Arabidopsis thaliana: one gene and its partner. The protein of the gene in region 1 interacts with the protein of each later gene in a biochemical or structural test. Each region holds a gene or a part of one and is shown on either strand. Other genes may lie near its edges. The genes, in order: ASY1 and ASY3.

Region 1 (11,920 bases):
ATTTGGGTTGGTCGATATATGATTTAACCTTTTTGGGTTGGACGAAATGTTCTGAACATTAGTGTTTGCACTTGCGTCTAAGCTACATATTGATATGTGATCAGTAGTGAATACTTTGTTCGTTACCCGCATTGTGGCTTGGAGCTGACGAGTTTGTACATCTCTTTTCCTTAACATATGTGCTTGGAATCTACAGTCTTTCTTCCTAGTTTTCTACAGTTTCAGCTTCATTTAAGCATAACTATCGTAGCTTCCTATAGGAAATGAGACTTGTATGTTTTTGTTTGTTGCAGAAAGAAGATGTGTTATGCTGTCTGGATGGATGCATGTTTGTTTTCAAGCTATTTTTCTCGGAGTTTGTCCGCTTCTGTTTCTATTTGTTCTTAAGGTGTCTGGGAGCTTGGTACAAAACTCAAATAATAACTTCAAACTTGTTTACGAACGAGAAAGAAATAATGCTCATTGGTTCTTAGTAAAGTTGTTTTGATTCTCCATCTCCTCCATTTTTGATACTGATACAATTTCTCAAAATGTGATAATTTTTTCATGTTCTTCGAAGTTATGTAGCTAACACTACCCATCCTTGTTTAAAAAGATCGAAACACACGTAGTACATTTTCACAGCACCAAGAGATAAAACACTAGTTCAAAGTTCTGTGATAGAAGAAAAAAAGAGAGGTCCTAAGATCATTTACACACATAACCAAAACCCAACAAACCAAACTTTCCAAAGCAGCAACAAATCACAAAATGTCTCAATCCTACTCCGAATCAGACGATGATTTATCACCATCAGCCGCATCAGTAGTCTCTCCTTTCTTTCCAGCCGTATCCCCTCCTTTCTTTCTCCTTGCATCTTCCTTTTCATAAGCCTTAACAATGTCATCAACAGGAACCAACGGAAGATAACCAACCAAAGAGTAACCCATATTAGTCATATCAGTCACCAAATCGTTGTACCGACTGGAAAAGTGTGCAGCCACAGGCAAAGCTTTGTCACCCATTGCATGGATTGGTTTATACTGGTTAAGTTTAGCCCAGACTTTAACCGAGTTGGTCACAACGAAAAACTTGTACTCAGTTGCAGCATAGTTAAACGCAGCTTTGGGACCACCGGTACGAGCCTCTTTCACAAAGCTTTGAGCTTTCTCTGTCGCCTTGTAGATCAATACATGTGCTTGATTCACCACTTTCTTAGCCATTGGAGGAGCATGCTCATCAAACTTGTACGAAACTTCACCCACCTAGCAAAAGTAAATAAAGAAAGGAAATGTTTGAAAAACTAAACACGATCTGGTTTCTAAATTAGGTCATCAGATCCAACAAAGACTAAATCTATGAGAAATTCAAAATTGGGCTCTACCTTGTGATCTAGAAAGACCAGGAGAGAATCAGGAACATCTTTGAATTTCTGATAGACAGGGGTGACGACGGTGGTGACGGCTCCTTCGACCTTTTCCACGGCGGATTTGAGAGGACCGGAGTTTTGTTTAGCGTATTCGTAGAGATTTGAGACGGAAGCCAGAATATGGATCGTTGCAATTCTCACGAACGCTAGGTGTTTTAGCGCTACCTCCTTGCTATTTTTCTTCTCTGTCTCCATCTACACCAAAGACGATGAAATCACGATTTTGATCGTAGTTTTGAGTGAAGGAAGAACAAAAGTGATGATAATAATCTCTTACCTTAGTTTTTTTTGTGAGTTCTTCCGATTTGCTTTCTTGAGAAATTTCGCCTGTCACTGTTCTTTATGACGTTATGAAACAGCAAAGTATCTTCACATCACGTTGAGGAGTGTGAGGAATGGTTAAAAATACGAGTGGCATTGGACTTGTCCACGTAATCCAACGGTTGATAATAGATCTGAGGGTGTGTGGGGTATTAAAAAAAGAATCGTTTCTAGAAAGGCGTGTCGTGTGTGGATGTTTCTGGACTTTTAAGCTGTGGGCTCGGAATGACGAAAATATTCTAGGGGATTCTTGTACGAACACGTGTATACTTTCCATTGAGTAGTGAACGTATAAGCGTTAAAGTTTTTGGATTATTTTTTGTCGGCCAAATACTTTCATTAAAACAGTCCATTAGGGCAATTACAAAGAGAAGCCCAATAACGTACATGCGAAATAAGCGGCCCAGTTTACCCCTCTCGTACTCTTCAGAGAGAGAGAACCTCCGTTCTCCGATCTCCATCGGAGATTAGTATTTGGTTTTTCTTTTGTTTTCCGTTAATCGGAATCTGTAAATTTCGCTACGGCGAATTGAATAATCTGACTTTAGGTCAGCTTTTGTAACCGGCTCTGTCTGGTTTAGATCTCCATCCATGTTTTCTGTCGATGTCGCCGTTTTCTTCACAAATCCTCTTAGTTTTCACCGTTGTGTTCAAGGAATAATATCTTCATCAATTCCTTTTGCTCAGGAAGAGCAAAGAATCGACTTCACCAATATGGGTGTCGTTATAGATGAAGCTTCCCTGGCGCTGGTGTTTCTTGGAGATTTTTGAAGCAGCTTCTTTGTTCTATCCGGCAGATCTTCGACGTTTATTGGATTTGGATTCGAGATCGACAACAAGGAGAAGGCTATCCATCACTACTAGACGGATCGGCGGTGACTGATCGAAGGCGGTGATGCTCCGGCGAGATGAATTCGGCGGTGCTCGATTTCCTGACGCGTGGAATGGCGTAGTACACGTTTCAACACGTGTTAGTATCTAAAGTTAAAGTTTTTGGATTAAAGTGATCGACAGGGGAATTTAAAACGAAGATAGTCCTATACTTCATACTTGTTCCATAAAAGCATGTAGAGCATTAGTGAATAATACTCACAGTAATAACTAATAAGTGTTAAAGTTTGATATGCAATAAATTATCTTCCCAAAAGTGCGATAAGATATGATACTTTAAGAGAGATAATAACAAGCATGGAGTATGAAAATAGTCTGAATGCAGAGGAGAAATAAAGCAATAAAAAGCGAGTGTTTCAGGTTAATATCATCACCACTGAAGAAGGTGGTTATGGTGTCTGATAGAGGTGGTGTCTTCAATTAGCTTGAGATTTCTGACGCTTGGAGTACTGCAGAATAGGCTCCCTCACCTGTAGGAATAACAATCACAAGAACCATGTCAGTTTCTTTCAGCAAATAACTAAAAAGTTGAAAAACGTAGAGAGAGTTTATATGGTTTAGTGTAAGATACCATGCTGGTTTTCCTGCCACGTCTGTCCTGTGAGGCTTGGCTACAGTTGACTGTCTCGGCTTCCTTAACAGCTCCACCATGTACCGCAAAGCTCTCCCTCGAAGCCGCAGGCTGAGTGAGCAACAATAACCAAATTAGCAAACACTTAAAAGAGTCATATACACAGTAAGATATGTCTATCACTCTCAGTGGTGATTTCATACTACCTGTGCCTTGTTGCTAATGGGAGTGTTCCCAGCTTTAGAGATAGTCTGTTCACTTAGAACAGAGCCGTTCTGCTGCATCCCACCAGATCTTCCTTTCGTGCGTGTGAAGTCTGAACCTATGGAGTGGATACCTCCACAGGTAGATACATCTATTTGTTTCAAATATGTCAGATCGATTAAAACAGCTTAAAACTTGGGTTGCAAAGTGCAAATAAGGAGTGTACCTGCGGTTACTTTGGCATCTGGGCCGTTTGTCTTGTTAATAGTTTCGGTAACATCCACATCCTGTGAAACCATTCACATTAGAAAGCTGTTCCAAAGAGGTATTCTGGTTTTCAAGTATTATTACCATATCATCGGTGGCAAGAACCTTTCTGACTTCATTTAGCTTCTTCTCAGTTAGACTAGAATGAATCACACGCTTCCCTGTTTATAAACATTGCATCAGTGAGGAAAAAATGACACAACAACCAACATAACTTAACAGAGAAGGGTCTGAATTGAGGTAGCAAACCTAGCCTGCGGTTGCTCGAAGCTTCCACGTAGCCCTCTTGGGTCATCCTGTCCATTAATTTACGAACTGCAGTCTGATTGGCTTCACCATCCAGCATGTTGTGAAGCTTTGTAATTGTCACATATTTCATCGGAAGAGAATGGTAAAGAGCCTAACAAAAAAAGCCAAGTGTCAATCATGGATCTCCGGACCATCTCTATTCATCTATCCTTTGAGCTAGTGTGTTAAACATAGAGTAAGAAGTCAGAGTCTCCCTCACTTTCATGTACAAGTAGTCTTCAGGAGCAACAGATTTCCCTGGAGAAATTTGACCATCGGCTTCCTCTTTCACAAAGGTGAATTCGCTCTCTGGTGTCTGAAATTTTGGGGTAAGTAGGTAGAAAATAAAATTTAAAAGCAAAGGCGAAAGTCATAAGTAAATGAAACCAAAGTAGGAGTCAGGATAAAAGAATCACCTTGTCTCTCTTTTTAATGTACATGTCCTTCCCCGTTTTCGAAAGAACACCTTCTGTCACGAGCTGATCCATGATTTCTGAAAGTCAGATTGTGACCAGTTAGTATAGGAAGACAGACTCTGAAGTTAACAACAGATAGCTATTATCAAACTGTATTATTAATCATCATATGATGATGCTTCAAGCGTGTTTTTGCCTAGTTATCATCATCAAGCTTGATTTACCTTCAGATAGAACCTGAAATCATAAAAAAGAGTGGCTTAGAGTTAAGAAATGGCGGAAACTAAACATGCAAGAGCTCAGTTACACTTTCTAAGGTGGAAATGAAGAGGAACAACTCATTACTATTGAGATATCTGGGAAGTTTGCAAGAATATCTGTGAGCTCCAGAGTATCAAGGTGACGGGAGTTGATCCAGTCCTTCACCCTTGCTAACTGCTGTTCATTCTCAGCCGGATCCTGTGTGTTGTCATCTTGAAGCATTTAAAAGATAGGTGAAATTAGAAGAAAGCTTTTCCAATACCGTGAAACCAAATTTTTGAAGTAATATTTGTATAGTAAATTTACCTTCATCAACCTCTCCATCATCGTCATCTTGTTTCTCTGTTAGATTATTAAGTTAACTCAGATAAGTGAAAACATTACTAGACTGGCATAAGCATACAAGGGTTTGTTACTCATCATTACCTACTGGCGCCACAATGAATTGATTTTCTTGTGTTTGACTGATCTGAAAACAACAATGAACATTACATTATAGGCACAGTGGAGTGTAATGCACATAGGATGTAAAAGATCTGAGTACAAAGCAGATGAGCAAATTAGAGACTTTGTTAACCTCGCTATCTGAATCAGAAGGCTGGTCATCATGTACAGAATCAGGTCCTATACTCTTACCATCATCTTGCATGTCGTCATTTTCATCTTCACAAGGATCAAGCACGCTCTTGACCTGCACAGATCATCCACAATGAATTGACATCATAAGACAAGAAACATGTATAGCGAGTTGCTTTATTCTTCAATCACGTTACCTTTAGCGTTAACACGAGATGTTTGCTGTTAACATTCCCAATTTCCATTCTCAGAGGATTCTTTGTCCATACATACTGAGCTTCGTCTTCTGTACAGCCTCTGAAGAAAGGTGGCTCGTAATCTGGTGGCTGCAAAAAGGTTTAAACAACAGCTGTCAGTCTTTCTTGTGGGCATTCAATTTTGGCATAGTAGAGAAAAGTGATATAAGATGAATGTAAAGACATGATTCCAAAAGAAAGTAGAAAATGAATGCAAACACAACAAATTCAAAGCTAGCCTGTATGTGTTATAAGTGTGTAGAATCAATCAGTAAATGAGAAAAGTCACATTCACAAAATAAGGATGCTTATTACCACAATATGCTAGTCTATAAGTTATTAAACGAAAGAAGCTCTATTGAAGCTACATTGAGATCATAGCAATGTCACCAGGGTTCAGAGAATTCAGGAAGGCTGTAATCATACCGTCACATCATCGTAGTACAGAAGCTTCATCACTATGGTGCGCTGCAGAAGCAAAAAAGGTAGGAATCTCAGTAATCAGCAATATGAAAACTGAGGTCAATGAAACTCCACTGAAGAGTAGCTACAATATTCATTACCTCATCTGGCATTTTGTCAAGAGTCCTCATCAGCTGAACTAGTGTACGAACCATTTTGCAAGCTGAACTCCTGATTTAAGTACACAATCATGAAAAATTATAAAGCCTGTTACGGAAGATAAATATAGACCTCAAACTCAAAGTAGGAAAGAATTATCTCAACACTGCACCTCATTTGATTTGGGGTAATGTCAGCAGTGGAGTTAAATATTCCTCCATTTTTCTTATTTCCAGTACGATTGATATTCATCATGACATCTTGGCTGTCAGAATCTGAATAGCTGAAAGAAACTGCAATAACACAGACCCTTCATCAATCAATAATGGATGTTACATATATATAGAGCATTGAATTTTAGCATAAAGCGATTATGCAAAAAAGCACAATCATCAAAGCATACACCAATTAAACAGGGAGGGATGAGGCATCAATTAATCAAATCACCCACCGGCGAACACATTTTTATCAAGCTAATCAATCATTCGCCAGAACTTACATGAGTATTCCTCAATCATCGGACCATCAACAGTTTCACATATGCTGAACATGAGCGTCTTCAAATATTTCCTCTGAAGCGCATCGTAGACTCCTAGATTCCATATTAAGAAACAAAATCATCAAAGATAAACGAGTACACAATTGAAACTAAGCGATAAATGCCAAAATCATTAGTATAGAAAACCTTTCTCCATCCAATCAATTAATCGGCGAGATTCAGCGTCCATAGGCATTAGCTTCTTAATCTTCATATCTACAAAAGCGTCCGCCCAATATTAGTTACAATATTTACCGAAATCGAAAATTTAACTTGATTTCTTTAGATCCCAGAGCCAAAGAGCTCTAGAAACTTCCAGATTAGCATCTCACCTAAAGCAGGAACCGATTTATCGTTGAAATACTTCTCAGGAAAGAGTCCTCTGATGTAACTTATGTTGAAGATAGCAATACGAAGCAAATTTCTAGTCTATTTCAGCAAAACGAAAACCAAAACAAAGACGTCAGTGTAAACGAGCTAAAAACTCCAGCTGATTAACGCGTAACAAACATAGAAACTGTTCACGATTCTTCAGATTAAGCGAAAAACTAAGTATAAGAGAACGAGATCTGAAATCCAGATCAATATCTACGAAAATCACCAGGAAGGAGCTAGAAATTTCACGAATCGTTAAGAAACAAAAACTCAAAAGCTCGATGATCGGCGTAGCTTACCAGAAGAAGCGAGTCCTGCTCAGTGATCTCTGCTTCCTTCAGCTTCTGAGCCATCACCTGGAGGTAAGAAACAAAACGAAACGCTAAAATCAGACTGAGAGAACTTGAACAGAGCGAAAATTTCATAGACTAAGATGAAGAACGAGACGGAGAGGAGAAAATTGATGATCGGCGATTTCTGCTCTCACCATTTTTGCAGAAGTGTGAAACGAATAACGAGATTCGTCGTCGGAGGAATTCTCAGAGAGAAGGAGGGAAGAGAAAATTTCAAAAAAAATTGAAAATGGAGAGAATGTTTATCAGTTTATGACTAGTGAGGGAGTCTGGGAGATCGTTTGAAGTTTATAGAAATGGAGAAGAATATTTAGTGGCAAAGCTGATATTTAGTGGTGATAGCATGGGTAAAATCGACTAATTGTGTAACGACGCGAAAGATATTTAGTGGTAACGTTGGTATTTAGTGACAAAAGCAGGGTCAATATCGTCTATTCGTTTCAACGTCCAGAAGATATTTAGGGGTAACGTTGGTATTTGAGATGGTAGTAGGGGCAATATAGTCTAATTACTATAATCACGTACAAGCGCTGCCAAAATCCAAAAGTTCGTTGCTCTTCTTAACTGGACCCCACCCTGATTTTAATTTTTCTAGTATAATTTTGTTTTTTGATTATTTAATGTTACAGCCCAACCCAGGCTCATATATTGTTTTTGGGTTTAGCCCCAATTACATTTCTGTTCTTTTGAAAATTTTGTTTTGTTTCTTCGTTTTGTATTTTTCTTTTTCTTTCAAAAGTCGTTAAAGACTTGAAATAACCAACTTGGTGATGGTTATATATGTTATGATTTCTGGTGTCATGGAAAGAAATCTGAATGCATATTTTATCCTGTGCCATTTATACGGAATGCATTAATTGTTAAATTCTTTCCATTTTATTAAATGTCATAGTCAACAAAAATAACTAACTGTTATAAATTGTAATGAAAATTAAAAATGAAGAATAAAAATAAACTTTGATTAGGGTTTCATTACAATTATTACCAGATATTTTCGTTGTCTGACTATAATCACTCTTATCTCTTCGTATATCATGTATATATATGTAACCTCTTCGTCTCTCTTCTCTTCATCTATAATCCTATTCTAATCTCTCTAGTCTACAAGTCGAAATGAGTCAATTCCCTCTCTCAATTCTCAAAACCTCTCAACCTCACCATCAGCCCAAATCCATGAACGCACCACGATCATCGGATGCAAGAGGCAAACGTATCCTCATCGATCCAATCGACGACCGGATCAGTAAACTCCCCGACGATGTGTTGGTCATGATCCTAGCAAGTTTGTCCACTGAAGATGCTTTGAAGACAAGTGTGTTGTCTACACGATGGAAGAATGTATGGAAACAAGTGCCTTACCTCCACTTCGATTTGCTAAGTGCTACATACGAGAGTGGACTTATCGCTGCTCTTTCCAATAGTGTTGCGGAATCGATAACCCAGGTTTCTCTCCATTTTTCCTTATTCTGCTCTTATGAGTTTCCAGTCAAATGTTTTGTTTTTTATCTGTCTCGTTTCCCTTAACTTAACTGATTAGATTGCATTACATTTTGATTCGTAGAAGAAATGTTATACGTGAACCAATTGAAATCAAATGCACTTGCTTATATAAATATGAAAGTCACATGTTTAACTTTGTGGTTAGGTGATTATCTGGTTTTATCTTATTTTCCCGCAATAATAAATGGTAAGCATAACGGTATTTCAAGCGAAAACATAGATTATTTCTTTAAAATAGTTTTCATTTAAGATTTTTTACGAGTATTAAGAAAACATTCATTGTTTTAATTCTAATTACTGTATTATTTTAGTTGATATCATCAATTAATAAGCTTAAAGAATAGAGATAGAATTAGAAAATCTATCAAGTGCATTGAAAACCGAAAATGACAACTAATTCAAAATAAAATTTAACTTTTAAAACGACAGCTAATACGAAATGGAGGGAGTATTTTTTTAAAAAATTTGTTTATTAATATATTTGAAAGTGAGCACTGATTTTGAATGTATTATTCTATTAGCTAATGAAAATATATAAAAAATGATCTCTTGCCATATATCTTTCAATTTTATTGAATTTAACAATTGATCAACTTATTCACAAGATATAAAAGAATTGGCTTTTGTTGACAACTTTTTACATTGTATATGTGTATCAATCTTTAACTAAAACCACTATTTTTGTTCTCAAGGTTATAAACAATCACAATGGTCATTTGATGGGTTGCTCAATCCATCATTTCGCACACCATTGTGTAAACGGTGTGCTTGAAAATTGGATTCGATTGCTTACTCTTGAGAAAAATACTAGATTTCTCTCACTTTGTAACAAACTTGGTAAAGGTAGGAGAACCAATGTGCTTCGGTTTTCCCCTAACACTTTCTCGCATCCAAAGCTCGCAACCCTCTTCCTACGTCGATACGATTTAGTAACCGCACATGCCTTCAAGGAGTGTGAAAATCTGAAGATTCTCAAGCTTGAGGGAATCTTAGCTGAAGTTGATGTGTTCAACACAGTTATTGCATCATGTCCTTCTCTCAAGGTGCTGGTGCTAAATTGCATGTGGTACAACGAAAAGACCTGCCTGAAGATTCATAATAATAATCTGAAGGTCTTGCATTTGGATTGCCCTCATGTTGATTGCATTGACGTGTCTGCAGCTCTTCTGGATATTTTCTCCATTTTCTACTTTGCGTTTGCTAAGGAACAAAACTTTGTCATCAAGGCACCAAGACTTTTGTTTAATAATTGGACTAAAGATCTAGAGAAAGTGCCAAACATGAACTACAATATTACATCTCATGCTCAGGTACAAGTACAAGCATATATATATATATAGAAAATGGTATTTTATATATTGCTTAACATATTTTGTTTTACATGAATTGAAGGAGAAAAAAAATATTGGACATGAGTTCGTGGTGAGTGGAGATGCTAGCTACTTGCAAAAGCTTAAGTCTTTGAAGGTGGTCGTGGATGTAACAAATTCGAGAGAAGTCCACATGCTAAGGGACATTTTAGTTGCTTGGAATGGAGTATTGGAAGAGCTCCATATACTATTTAAGGTACTTTCATTTTATGCTTTAATTTTAGTACTTAGAAGATTTGATCAGTTTTCTTCTATCTTTTTTTTATTTTAATTTTTATCTTCTATCTTTTTTTTTGGTTTAATGAGTTTTAATTTCAAGTATCTATCATAACCAACACAACATGTTTATGTATGTTCTTGTCTATATATATATAGGATAACAATGTCCCTAACTCTAAGGAAGATAGTGAATCTTCGATTGGTGGAACACAAAAGAAAAAGTGGGAGGAGGCAAATCTGTTTCCCAATGCTGATTTTCGTGTGGAAGTTATGTGGATGTTTGATTTCAACGGTTCAAATAAAAAACAATTTGCATTAGCTTCGCGTTTTGTAACGCAAGGGACGGTAATGAAGAAGATGATGATTAAAACGTCTTCATTTTTTGCAAATGAGAAGTTGGATAACGAAGCGGTTGTGGCCAAACTAAAGGAACTTCCAAAGGGTAATGAGAATCTTAGTATTGAATGCTTCTGATGGAATTTGGTTAGAATCTAGTAGAAAATAATATTTCTAGCCCTATGTGACATTGATTGTGGTGAAAAAAAACAAATTTCAAAACATAATCTTGTAGTTTTCTTCTCCCTTTTATATTGATGATTTTTCTTTATGACAATTAATCTTTAGTTTAATATTGAATGTTTTTAAATTTAAATGACAAAAAATACCATTTTATTGCAATGGCTTTTATGAACTTGTCACCGCATCGAGGATTAGAGTCGGAATCGGCGCTCTTGGAATCTCGCTTCCATAACGTTTCCAAAAAAATCCACTTTGGGAGCTCTTTAAAAACTAACAATTGATCTACATATTTTGAAAATTTGGGCTTCCATTAAAAAATTTGTTGTCACTAATAAATAAAAAAATCATTATATTACTTTTGATAATTTTCTTATACAAACATTAAAATAAAACCAAAACTAATAGTACTCCCTTTGTTCCTTTTTGTTTGATTGTTTAGAAAAAAAAATTGTTTCAAAAAGATTGATTTTTTAGATTTTCAATACAATAGTTATTAGTTATAATTGATAAATTGTAAACTTCAATACAAATTAGTGAATATCATTGGTTTAAAGTTATTGAAAATTGTAAATCACAAAAAACAATACATTTAAAAGCAACATTTAATATGTTTTTTTAATATTTGTGATTTTTCTAAAAGATCAAACAAAAAGGAACAGAGAGAGTAGTATTTTACCGTACTAATCTTTCTATTTTATTGTTAGAGATACCATGCTTGGGAAAACGACAACGGCGTGAATCATTTATTAGGAAGATATTGGAATGATTAATTGAATTAAATTAGTTTCGAGAAACTTGAGTTTGATAATGTTTATATGAATAAAACGAAATTTGAATTGATGGAATTAGCTAATTAGGAAAATGAGAATGAAGATAGTGATCTAAAGTGACAACAAGAATTGATTAGTAAAAAACTAAGAGAGAAGAGAGAAAGAAGGCATATCCTCAATTCTGAAAACATCATCCATCATCAGCTCTCTCTCAAGCTGCCCCCTTGTACATCTTAGCACATCCTACACAAATACCATTTATCATCACATCACCAT
Region 2 (12,083 bases), on another chromosome or scaffold:
GAGATGTTCCCTAACAACACTACAAATTACAATTTCCTCACTTTCTTATTTTCTTACTGCCTCCGCCTCCTCTCTGTCCCCTCTTTTCTTCCATTATTTTCATTTGCATCTTCTCTTTATTTCTTTGCAACTTTAATCTTATGATATGTAAATTGTAAATATACTCATTTTTTTCTATATTGAATAAAAAAACTTTTGTTAGAAAAAGATACACATATACGATATTTCCTCAAAAATAATATGAAGTACTGATTTTGGCAGTCATTATAGAATTGCATTTTATTGGAAAGATACACACATAGTTCAAGTACTTTATATATGCGCTAATTTTGAGAACTCCACTTTACTGCGTCGTGGTTGCTTGTCAGTCAAAACTTGGGCTTGCTTTTAAGATGCGTGATTGCATTTGCATGTCTCGTGGCTTTCTTTTTCTGTAGCCCCTCTTGTTGGACTAATCATAGCCTTTTGTTTCCTCCCTTTGCTTTAACATTACTGAAATTATCGGATTGTTTCTTTCATTTGTTGATTGGATGTATGTTTACATTATTACATGTGTATTCATTGTTATAATATACAAGTTTTAAAACATTACTTCCCCTACCAAATAATTTCAAATATATATATATATATATATATATATTCATGAAGCATTTTTTATTTTATTTTGGTTTAATGAAGCATTAAATTTTGAACTTGCTTATGTTACTTTTATGATATTGGAAGAAGTCGAATTATTTCTTCGTTGATATCGTATATAAAATTTAAAACTCATAGAATTTCTATTCAAAAAGTAATTGGTGATTAAATGAATGGAGTGCCTATATATGTATTTTTTTTTTCTTGCAATCAATTTTGATTTAGAATTTGCATGCATGATATTTTTTTAATATTTTTTTATCCTTTAATAATTTTTTTTTATATTATCTAAAGTTGTATTTGTATTCCTTACATAAAGTTTGGTTACTTTCATCTCTAAGGTAAACTGCTAATATTAAAGAAAGTAATTTAATGGAAGCAAAAAGTGTTAAAATATGTAATATAATTTGAATGGAAGAGTAGCCCCCGAGGGCAATCAAGTGGAGGTCTTCCATGGTTAGGATGCAGAAGCTTAATACGTTTATATAGATAGATAAACAATAGCCTCCATAAAGTAAAAGATACTTGCATGCGTGCGTGTAGGTATTGAGTCGAGATGTTACGTGCGTGTCTTTTTATAGATACTATATATTATTGGTTCTTCTAAATCCTTAAAAATGTTAAGATTACGCACGCAATTCATGAATTGTATATAGATTTACCAAATCTTGAATTGATTTTAAATTTCTTACAAAGCAAATACACTGGTAGTGTGACATTTTGTCCCTGTGGATTCTGTATGACGTAATCTCGTTCCTCACATTATGACACTTAATCGAGTGTTTTTTTTTCCCTATCATTTTTTTTGTAAATTTATCCTCTACAAATTATGTATGTTTGTGAACTATTAAATACGATGTTGATATATATATATATATATATATAAACTATATAATAAATAAGTGAATTATTTTACGAGTATGGATCATAAATAAAACATGGAATAACAATAGAATGTTTGTTAAATAGAACTCAAATTAATGATCAGTTATGTACAGTCCGGCCTTAGGCCCAGGCACTACCCACTTGGGCCGGGCCTGGTTATGTAGCATATATATAAACGCTAGTCACCGGGATAGTTGGACTTGGATGGCTCTAGCCTGACCCGTCAAAGTTTAACGGAAACTTGACATATGCAAAGACCGTCTCCGTTTGAACTTTGAAGCGATTGAAATTTTTTGAGAGGCGAATTAAGGCGCCAAAATTTTGAGAATGATAAGTAGATTACGACACATGTACTCACCTCAATCTGACGGTTACGATGCAATGTAAATACGAAGAAATCTCAGGGTTAAAATCGTCCAAATGTTCGGCGTCGTGTATACGCAATTCAGCTACAGACAGTGTTTGTTACACACCATTTTGAGAAATCTAAATTTTCATTTTCCCCCGCTTCTCTCCTAGAAATTTCGAATTTCTGCTTCTCTCTCTCTCTATCAGTTTTCTCAGATCTTATTCCAGTTAATATTCCGGCGATCTTCTTTCTCTCTTTGATCACTTAATTCTTCACCGGAATCAGAGAGTCAGGGCTTTCGCACTTGTACCCGCGAGCTTTGATTAGGTAATTTCTTAGCCAATGATACCATCGCTCGATTTTCTCTGTTTTCGTTTTCGATTCATGGCTCGTTACTCTCATATTCAGTGATAAGTCGTCGCGATCTATGCCCCCTTTCGTTAAATTGGTGTTATCGTCTCGATTTTGAGTTTAGTACCAGCGTTATAGTGTTGTCTTTGCATAATCGGAGAGTTTTGGTATGAAATTCGTTGCTAGAGATATCACATCTCGCTAGTTGTTCATCGTTTCAAGCATCTATTATCTGCTGCTTCTCTTGTTTTCGTCATATTATCCAGATCTAGCACCTTCTTATTTTGGGATTTTCTATTACCAAATTTTTTATCCGAGTGTTAGAAATTTACCATTCCTAATGATTAATTTATCATCCATTATCGCTGAATATAGCCTGCGTTGTACTGCTTTACTTCTCTGTTTGTGTTGCTATTCAGAAATTATATGAGTGATTAGGTGTTCGTTGATATTTACATTCTTTTTCCCAGCAGAATTGTTAACCTTGTGGTGATACATTTCAGGAAAAGATGAGCGACTATAGAAGCTTCGGCAGTAACTACCATCCATCAAGTCAATCTAGAAAGATTTCTATAGGAGTTATGGCTGATTCACAACCGAAAAGGAATCTTGTGCCAGATAAGGATGATGGAGATGTTATTGCTAGAGTAGAAAAGTTGAAATCAGCCACCGTAACTGAATTACAGGCGAACAAGAAAGAGAAAAGTGATTTAGCTGCCAAGCAAAGGAATTCAGCTCAGGTCACAGGACATGTGACCTCACCTTGGAGGTCTCCGAGATCGTCTCATCGGAAATTAGGGACTCTTGAGAGTGTTCTTTGTAAGCAAACATCTAGTTTGTCTGGTAGCAAAGGATTAAACAAGGGACTTAATGGAGCACATCAGACACCAGCTCGTGAATCATTTCAAAACTGTCCCATTTCGAGTCCTCAGCACAGTCTTGGTGAGCTGAATGGTGGCAGGAACGATAGAGTGATGGATAGGAGTCCAGAGAGGATGGAAGAACCTCCATCTGCAGTCTTGCAGCAAAAGGTTGCCTCACAGAGAGAGAAGATGGATAAGCCAGGGAAGGAGACAAATGGAACTACTGATGTTTTGAGATCAAAACTGTGGGAGATATTGGGAAAAGCTTCACCAGCAAATAATGAAGATGTGAACTCTGAGACCCCAGAAGTTGAGAAGACCAACTTCAAGTTGAGTCAAGACAAGGGTTCAAATGATGATCCTCTTATTAAGCCTAGACACAATTCAGATTCTATCGAAACTGATTCTGAAAGCCCTGAAAATGCTACCAGAAGGCCAGTAACCAGATCTTTGTTGCAGAGGAGGGTAGGAGCCAAAGGTGTCCAGAAGAAAACCAAAGCTGGTGCCAACTTAGGTCGCAAGTGCACAGAACAAGTAAATAGTGTATTTTCTTTTGAGGAAGGTTTGCGCGGAAAAATTGGCACTGCTGTGAATTCCAGTGTTATGCCAAAGAAACAAAGGGGTAGAAGAAAAAACACTGTTGTAAAATGCCGTAAGGCTCATTCTCGAAAAAAGGATGAAGCTGATTGGAGTCGGAAGGAGGCGAGCAAGAGCAATACTCCACCACGTTCTGAAAGCACAGAAACTGGCAAAAGATCTTCATCTTCAGACAAAAAGGGAAGTTCCCATGACCTTCATCCACAGAGCAAAGCCCGGAAACAGAAACCAGATATTAGCACAAGGGAAGGAGATTTTCATCCATCGCCAGAAGCTGAGGCAGCAGCTCTGCCAGAGATGTCCCAGGGATTATCTAAAAATGGCGATAAACATGAACGGCCGAGTAATATTTTCAGGGAAAAGTCTGTTGAGCCAGAAAACGAATTCCAGAGTCCAACCTTTGGATATAAAGCACCAATCTCAAGTCCTTCCCCATGTTGTTCTCCAGAAGCATCTCCTTTGCAACCTAGGAATATTAGTCCCACATTAGATGAGACGGAAACACCAATATTTAGCTTCGGTACTAAGAAAACCTCTCAAGGGACAACAGGCCAAGCGTCAGATACAGAAAAGAGATTGCCTGTAACCTTCATAAACTGAAGCGGCTTTATCTATACTTAAGTTGCATATTGACTTTATATACTCCTCTTTGACTTTTGTGTTTACTTATTTATTTTCAGGATTTCTTGGAGAAGAAAAGAGATTATTCTTTCAGAAGAGAAAGTTCTCCTGAGCCAAATGAAGATTTAGTTCTGTCTGATCCGTCGTCTGATGAGCGAGACTCAGATGGTTCAAGAGAAGATTCACCAGTGTTAGGCCATAACATCAGTATGCTTCTTAATTCTTATCCTAGACCATATAAAAACTGGAGGATCTTATTTTCTTCTTAACAGAATCCATGTTTTGCTTATTCTATTGATCTTCTGATTCAGGCCCCGAAGAAAGAGAAACTGCCAATTGGACTAATGAGAGATCTATGTTAGGCCCTAGCTCAGTTAAACGGAACTCTAACCTTAAGGGCATTGGACGTGTCGTGTTAAGTCCTCCCTCCCCTTTGTCAAAAGGTATAATGCTCATTTGTATGTCACTGTTGTGGGTTTATATACTGCACCCTCATTTGTTTTGTCCTGGAAACTGAGCAGGGATCGATAAAACTGATTCCTTCCAGCATTGTTCAGAGATGGATGAGGATGAAGATGAAGGCTTGGGAAGGTCTCTTGTAGATATAACTAATATTACGTGTCTATCTTTAATCTTTGTTCCTGTCTTAAGTTGATTATTTACCATGTCTCAGGGCTGTTGCATTGTTCGCTATGGCTCTTCAAAACTTTGAGAGAAAACTGAAATCTGCAGCTGAAAAGAAGTCCTCAGAAATTATAGCATCAGTCTCCGAGGAGATACATCTGGAGTTGGAGAATATCAAGTCCCATATCATAACAGAAGCGTATGTTTGTATAATTTATTCTGCATTCTTTCTTTTAAATTATCAATCAAAGATCTTGTTAATTATGGTACAGGGGAAAGACAAGTAACCTAGCCAAAACTAAGAGAAAGCATGCCGAAACAAGATTACAAGGTACATCAACACATTATATCTTAATAGTTAATACTGTACTCGAATTCACAGTCATGAACATTAAGAAAGCTTAGAAGTTCAAATATACTATCTTTGCAGTTTAATCCTGATTCAAGGTAGTAGATCGGAAATTTGATATCAAGTATTACTCTTTAGATTGCATTTAGTCTTGAAGTACTCACCATCTTGCTTCATTCTTGTGCTTTCATGTCTCTTTGATTAGACACACACACACACCTAACTATACTTTCGGCTCTAACATAGACATGAAACTTGCATTTAACATAGTTATATCAAGACAAAGCTAAATGCTCAATTCATTCCTATGTGGAGAATAATAAAAAATTGAGCTGTGTATTGTTGTGGAACATGAGAGTCTGGAAATGTCTCCATATTTCCACTCATTGAATAAAAATATGCAAGATCCGTTCTGATCTATTGTGTTCACTGATAATATCTAATCGTCTAACAGAGCAAGAAGAGAAAATGAGAATGATCCATGAAAAGTTCAAGGACGATGTCAGCCATCATCTTGAAGATTTTAAGAGTACTATCGAAGAGCTTGAAGCAAACCAGTCAGAGCTGAAAGGAAGCATAAAGAAGCAAAGTATGTTAACTTCTGTAATTCCTGCTTTTACTACAACGAATTCTAACACTAGAAATACTTGAAACATATGATGTTATCAAAGTTAGATTCTTCATGGCAAGATAGTTTTAATATAATAATAGCAGGAGGACAAGTATTTCCTAAACTCACTTGATAACTTTTTATCTCTCTATGACAGGAACATCACACCAAAAACTCATTGCACATTTTGAAGGAGGCATCGAGACAAAACTGGACGATGCGACCAAAAGAATCGATTCTGTAAACAAGGCAAGTCATTGTTCTGCTTCTTAAGAGTCAGATTCTAAAAATGGTTAAATCATGAATTCAAAAGCACAACTTAAAAATGACGTATTGGTTTACAGTCTGCGAGAGGAAAGATGCTGCAGCTGAAGATGATTGTCGCAGAATGTTTGAGGGATGATTGACACTGAGTCTCACAGAATCAATCAACCACACGTACGTCGTTATTCTCCATTTTAAAACATAAACTAGACGAACTGTGTTAACCAGGAAAGAAAAACCTCTCAAGCAAAACCAGCCTTTGGTTTAGTGGTCTCATGAGTTCAGGCGAATAAAGAAGATATAGTAGATGATGCTTTGACTCATTGTCATTGATTCGTATTCGTATAGAATAGTTTATTGTTCACTGAACCACTACAAAACTACTTATATCATAGAGCCTTATTTTATATAGCAGTTTGAAGGTTTCTTTTTAATTTATTTTTGCCAGCAACTGCAGATATTTTTTATTAAACCAACAACTTTTAATTAGGTTATTGATATCTTGATATATATCGAAGCAAAACCAATCCAAACATTTTTCTTTTAAAAACCAGAATATTTTGCAGACGTTGATGTGAATTTTAATTACAATATTTTACTTTAACAGAGATGTATTTCATATTGAATATCAAAACCAAACTGAACAAAGAATGGTCACAATTCGATATCAATCGAATGAAACAGAAAATAAAATGTTGGACCCAACAATTTTACTGTGATGATAAAAACATGGTAGAGATAATTTTGTTTGTAAATAGAGAGATCTCAAATCACAGAGGATTCTTTTTTTACGGTCGGTAAAAGAATTTAGAATGTGTCGAGAGGGTAAAAATGGAGAAGACGACAAGATAGTAGCAGTCGTTAGAAACAAACAAGAAAGAAGGGAGGGAGACAAAATAACACAAAGGGGTGGATGAATCACGCGGCATTCACGTGAAGTGCACGTGAACTTGGCCAAAAAAAGCCTAATTGTGGGTCCCATTTAAAGAGAAAACTAAAGCCTTTAAGAAAGGGCCCATCCATATATGTCTTAATAATGGCGTGAAGGTTCTTTCCGCTCACGTGGGCCTTTTGTGCCCGTCTCTCTCGCATGTCACTCACTACAGTTTTACTAGTGTTTTGTTTTATTTTTGATAACAACATTATTGATTTTTTTTCGGTCTACCTAAGTTTTGACCTTTCTTTTTTAATTGTGAACAATTGAACATGCGTATTACTTATTGATAATACTTTTATCTTCAATAAAAAAAATAACACACGAACATAATATAGAAATAGTGTGTTCCAATACTGGAGATTATTTAGTAAGTTCAGTTGGACGCTTTGTCATTGCATAGTTTGGAATTTATTCCTAAACTTTCTAAGAACACGTTCTTATAGGAATTTGCATGACGAAAAAATCAATACTAGTTGCATTATTGTTGGAGCATCATCGGGAGTGATTTTTTTTGTGTTTTCCTATTTACTACATTGTGTTTTCCTGACCTTTTAAATAAAAAGGAAATACACAAAACCATATATAAATATATGTATATATATATCTGACTGTGCTCAAGTAAAATTCACGGATCAGACGTTAAAAAAATGATCATGCTTAATATTTTCTCATTTTAGATGAAGACAAAAAAAAAAAAAAGGAATTGCAATCGTAGATTTGACTTTATTTTTATTTAATTTTTCTATTCTTTTTCCGAAAGCAGAGAAAAATGGAGCGGTGGAGAGTAGAGAAGTCGGTCATAAGAATGTCTCTCTCTCTATTTCTTTGTCTTTCACTATCGCCCATACATTATCTTGCTTCTTTCATTTATTCCATCAATATTTTTGTTTTAAAATGAAAGATTTACACATTAACATGAATACTTATACTACTCTTTATCGCGTATATATAGTATAGTCTATGTTATTATGAATTTATGATTATATTTTTTCTATAAAACGTGCGAAAACTCATTTCACATATACAAACAAATATATACGTTTTGTATTAAAAAAAAGCAACTGTAAATTTTATAAATCTGAAATGTAACATTTGAAGTCGACCAAAGTTTGTAAGGTAATAATTTGTACTAATTCTCCATACTGTGTCATAATCACGATTCAAGGATAAATATATGAGTTGTGGACCAAAACAAATCCTCCATATCAATCAATCATAAATGAAATAAGCGAATATACATATATACAACCGACTATATATATATATATATGCTGCTCTTCATTAACCCCAAGAAAGAAAACCAAAGTGTGAAGTCCGAATCTCTCTGATTCTACAATTCACAAAAACCGGAAAAAAAAAAAGACAAGTAAAGAAAGCTTTGTTCAGTTTACTTCAATGGAAGCAAAACCCTTAGCATCATCATCATCTGAACCAAACATGATTTCTCCATCATCAAACATTAAACCAAAGTAAGTTTATTATGGTTTCATCTACACTTTTTGCGACTTCTATAAACATATACACATGCGTGGTTTTGAAATAATGGGCGCTTATGGTTCTGTCGGTGCTTGAAACAATTTTGTCTTCTCCTGACTATTTTTTTTTTGTTAATAGGTTATTTATACGTGACTCTTTTCTTGCAGATTAAAAGATGAAGATTATATGGAGCTGGTGTGTGAAAATGGGCAGATTCTTGCAAAGATTCGAAGACCAAAGAACAACGGTTCTTTTCAAAAGCAACGTAGGCAATCTCTCCTGGATTTGTATGAGACCGAGTACAGCGAGGGTTTCAAGAAAAACATCAAGATTCTTGGAGACACACAAGTTGTTCCGGTGAGTCAGTCTAAGCCACAACAAGATAAAGAAACCAATGAACAAATGAACAACAATAAGAAGAAGCTAAAGTCCTCCAAAATCGAATTTGAGAGAAATGTTTCGAAAAGCAACAAATGTGTTGAATCATCAACATTAATTGATGTTTCTGCTAAAGGTCCAAAGAATGTTGAAGTTACTACAGCTCCTCCTGATGAGCAATCTGCAGCTGTTGGTAGATCCACGGAATTGTATTTTGCTTCTTCATCGAAGTTTTCTCGAGGAACTTCGAGAGATCTAAGTTGTTGTTCTTTAAAGAGGAAGTATGGAGATATTGAAGAAGAAGAATCAACCTATTTAAGTAATGTAAGAGAAATTAATTAGCTGCTTGTCTTAGTTCTTTCACATGGTAGATCATTAATTGTCTTTTTCTTATTGCTTATGCAGAATTCAGATGATGAATCAGATGATGCGAAGACACAAGTTCATGCGAGAACAAGAAAGCCGGTGACTAAAAGAAAACGAAGCACAGAAGTCCATAAGTTATATGAAAGAGTGAGTTTATATGTATGAAAATTTCACCTTAGTTAGTAGAAAAAAAATAATGTATGAAAATTAATGCTAATTAAGGATTTGTTAACAGAAACGAAGAGATGAATTCAACAAGAAAATGCGTGCTTTGCAGGACCTACTACCAAATTGTTACAAGGTTTGAGATTAACTTAAATCACATTACATTGTTTACTTAGTCTTAGAGAGTTAATTAATTTTCTCTTTGTGGAGATTTCTGAATATCTGTAATTGTTGATGATAGGATGATAAGGCTTCATTGTTGGATGAGGCTATCAAATATATGCGGACCCTTCAACTTCAAGTTCAGGTATTCAAAATAATACACCAATTCAATAAAATTTCATTGAGAGATAATAAAATGATTCAGGTGTTAATTATTTAAACACAGACTTGTGTTTATATTTACATATAAATTTGTTTTTTAACATTAAAATATACTTTGTAAAGTGTTTTTGTTATCAAATATTATTGCGTTTGGCTTTTACCTTTACGAATGATTCTTGATAAAGTCACTAGAAACTAGTTTCATAAGAGAAACCAAAACAAATTATAAACGTAATTAAACACTAATCAATAAACAATCAAAAGTTTATTCCTTATTTATTTTACTACAAATTTTTTTACATATATATAAGATTCTTAATTAACATGCTCTAATAATTATTTACAGATGATGAGTATGGGAAATGGATTAATAAGACCACCTACGATGTTGCCAATGGGTCATTACTCTCCCATGGGTCTAGGAATGCATATGGGTGCAGCAGCAACACCAACATCAATACCGCAATTCCTGCCTATGAATGTTCAAGCAACCGGTTTTCCGGGGATGAACAATGCACCACCACAAATGCTAAGCTTTCTTAATCACCCAAGTGGACTAATTCCAAACACTCCTATCTTTTCTCCATTGGAAAATTGCTCTCAGCCATTCGTGGTGCCTTCGTGTGTTTCTCAGACTCAGGCTACTTCTTTTACTCAATTCCCAAAGTCTGCGTCCGCCTCAAACTTAGAAGATGCAATGCAATATAGAGGAAGCAACGGTTTTAGTTATTATCGCTCGCCAAACTAATGATTTGTAGAAAGTTGATGTTTTCTCCAACTAACTAACTTTAAGCAAAAAAAAATGATCGTCTACTCTGTGTTGTTAGTCTATGGGCTTTTGGGCCTTGATTCTTGGAACGATTTGAACTTAATTCCAACTATTTTCAAAGTGGATGTACAAAGTAAAATATAACAAATATAAGTTATCATAGACTCTATAACAAAGTTATAAGTAGAGGACGTGCAATTGCATAATGATGGATGATGATGAGTGTTCAATTACGATAAACCGATTTTAACGCAAACCCAACTAAGATGAAGACAACTCATTTGACCTAAATCGTAATTTGAAACGAATTTTGCCATGTTTTTGGGATTAAGGAACAATCTCAATGATGAGATTGAGTAAAGTACTACAAAACTTGGGCTTGATGGGCTTTTTAGTGGACTAATATCTACTTTATTCTTTCTTTTTTCAAACATTAAAAAATTAATTGGGCTTTTTCAAACACGAAAACAAGGGAGTGCAATAGTGTGATGAAGATGAGACTCACACATTGAATTTCTGATATTTTAGCGTCAGGTGCGTTGAAAACTTGAAATCAATGTGAAGATTCTCTTTTAAAAATAGATGACTCTTATTTCATGAGTTAACATGATACTTAAAGAAAGTGGATAGTTAAGTCTAAACCAATTCTTTTAGTATAGAAATAAAATTTCAACCACTTCCTTTAAATATGAAACCATGCAAAAGTAGATAACAAACGAAAAAGTGTTTCATTTTAAGATTCGATGTCACGATCCATCACATTGCACCGTTGGTTGATAAATATCTCTCATCTTTGTTTATTTATTTTCACAATGTTGTACTTCTATTTCTATAACATTTTCGTTTGAATTCAAATACCAAATTAACTCTCCAAACAATTAGTTCATCAAGTATTTTGTTCACAATGATATGTTAACAACAAATCATTGATTCATTGTCCATGCCGGATTATTTTAAAGATACAGAAACAGTAAACCTAAGATACAATGAATGCTAAAACTAAATTATTCTCCCAAAAGGATTACTTAGCTTTCATGAGTAATTTTATATTTTTCTTTTATCCACTCATTTTTTATATACTTTCTATAATTGTCTTATTACGTAACAAATATGTGCTATAGGCATATTTAGAATCTACTCTATCATCATACCATATATAAGACACATTTTACTTTATTAATTACTTTTTGTTTGTTCTCAAATTGAAAATAAACAGACGTGTTTGTGCTAACTTCATGTAGTGTTTAGATAGTGTTTCATTCACTGGCCATAGACTTATTTTACAAAGTTATATGTGCATGTCATTATATAGTGTAGAACTTAAAACACCTAACCAAGAACAACAATACACACACACAAACATAAGGAAAAAAAAACTTTTCCATGGGGCTCGTAATTTTCTTGGCACTAATTGTCTTAATCCTTATTATTGGTCTCAGGATATTCAAAGCTTTTATGATTCTTGTTTGGCATCCATTTGTGTTGACCAGAAGACTCAAAAACCAAGGAATCTCAGGCC

What was found.
Region 2: the proteins of ASY1 (region 1) and ASY3 form a complex in vitro, tested with the Arabidopsis thaliana proteins (one study listed by BioGRID).

What each region holds. Positions count from the first base shown.
Region 1 is NC_003070.9:25,236,311-25,248,230, forward strand, and holds ASY1 (DNA-binding HORMA family protein), read right to left. Parts: upstream 7,528-11,920; 5' UTR 7,404-7,527; coding exon 7,401-7,403; intron 7,270-7,400; coding exon 7,213-7,269; intron 6,968-7,212; coding exon 6,871-6,967; intron 6,755-6,870; coding exon 6,686-6,754; intron 6,593-6,685; coding exon 6,500-6,592; intron 6,294-6,499; coding exon 6,173-6,293; intron 6,073-6,172; coding exon 6,003-6,072; intron 5,908-6,002; coding exon 5,866-5,907; intron 5,530-5,865; coding exon 5,401-5,529; intron 5,319-5,400; coding exon 5,205-5,318; intron 5,097-5,204; coding exon 5,054-5,096; intron 4,970-5,053; coding exon 4,934-4,969; intron 4,840-4,933; coding exon 4,712-4,839; intron 4,604-4,711; coding exon 4,591-4,603; intron 4,444-4,590; coding exon 4,367-4,443; intron 4,267-4,366; coding exon 4,171-4,266; intron 4,063-4,170; coding exon 3,912-4,062; intron 3,824-3,911; coding exon 3,747-3,823; intron 3,683-3,746; coding exon 3,622-3,682; intron 3,547-3,621; and 7 more. Other genes in the region: AT1G67360 (Rubber elongation factor protein (REF)), read right to left, coding at 762-1,244, 1,364-1,603; AT1G67390 (F-box family protein), read left to right, coding at 8,380-8,709, 9,459-10,076, 10,159-10,332, 10,512-10,829; AT1G67400 (ELMO/CED-12 family protein), read right to left, coding at 11,789-11,887. UniProt on the Arabidopsis thaliana protein: Required for normal meiosis in male and female gametophytes. Plays a crucial role in coordinating the activity of DMC1, a key member of the homologous recombination machinery.
Region 2 is NC_003071.7:19,294,077-19,306,159, reverse strand, and holds ASY3 (asynaptic protein), read left to right. Parts: upstream 1-1,888; 5' UTR 1,889-2,197; intron 2,198-2,700; exon of another isoform or gene 2,701-2,724; 5' UTR 2,725-2,730; coding exon 2,731-4,263; coding exon of another isoform or gene 4,264-4,281; exon of another isoform or gene 4,282-4,293; intron 4,294-4,361; coding exon 4,362-4,509; intron 4,510-4,613; coding exon 4,614-4,745; intron 4,746-4,823; coding exon 4,824-4,893; intron 4,894-4,975; coding exon 4,976-5,125; intron 5,126-5,198; coding exon 5,199-5,257; coding exon of another isoform or gene 5,258-5,331; exon of another isoform or gene 5,332-5,729; coding exon 5,730-5,864; coding exon of another isoform or gene 5,865-5,926; exon of another isoform or gene 5,927-6,042; coding exon 6,043-6,134; coding exon of another isoform or gene 6,135-6,158; exon of another isoform or gene 6,159-6,229; coding exon 6,230-6,292; 3' UTR 6,293-6,668; downstream 6,669-12,083. Other genes in the region: PIL1 (phytochrome interacting factor 3-like 1), read left to right, coding at 8,482-8,555, 8,730-9,264, 9,346-9,453, 9,542-9,607, 9,713-9,778, 10,142-10,543; CYP709B1 (cytochrome P450, family 709, subfamily B, polypeptide 1), read left to right, coding at 11,948-12,083. UniProt on the Arabidopsis thaliana protein: Required for normal meiosis in male and female gametophytes. Acts with ASY1 at the interface between the developing chromosome axes and the recombination machinery to ensure interhomolog recombination.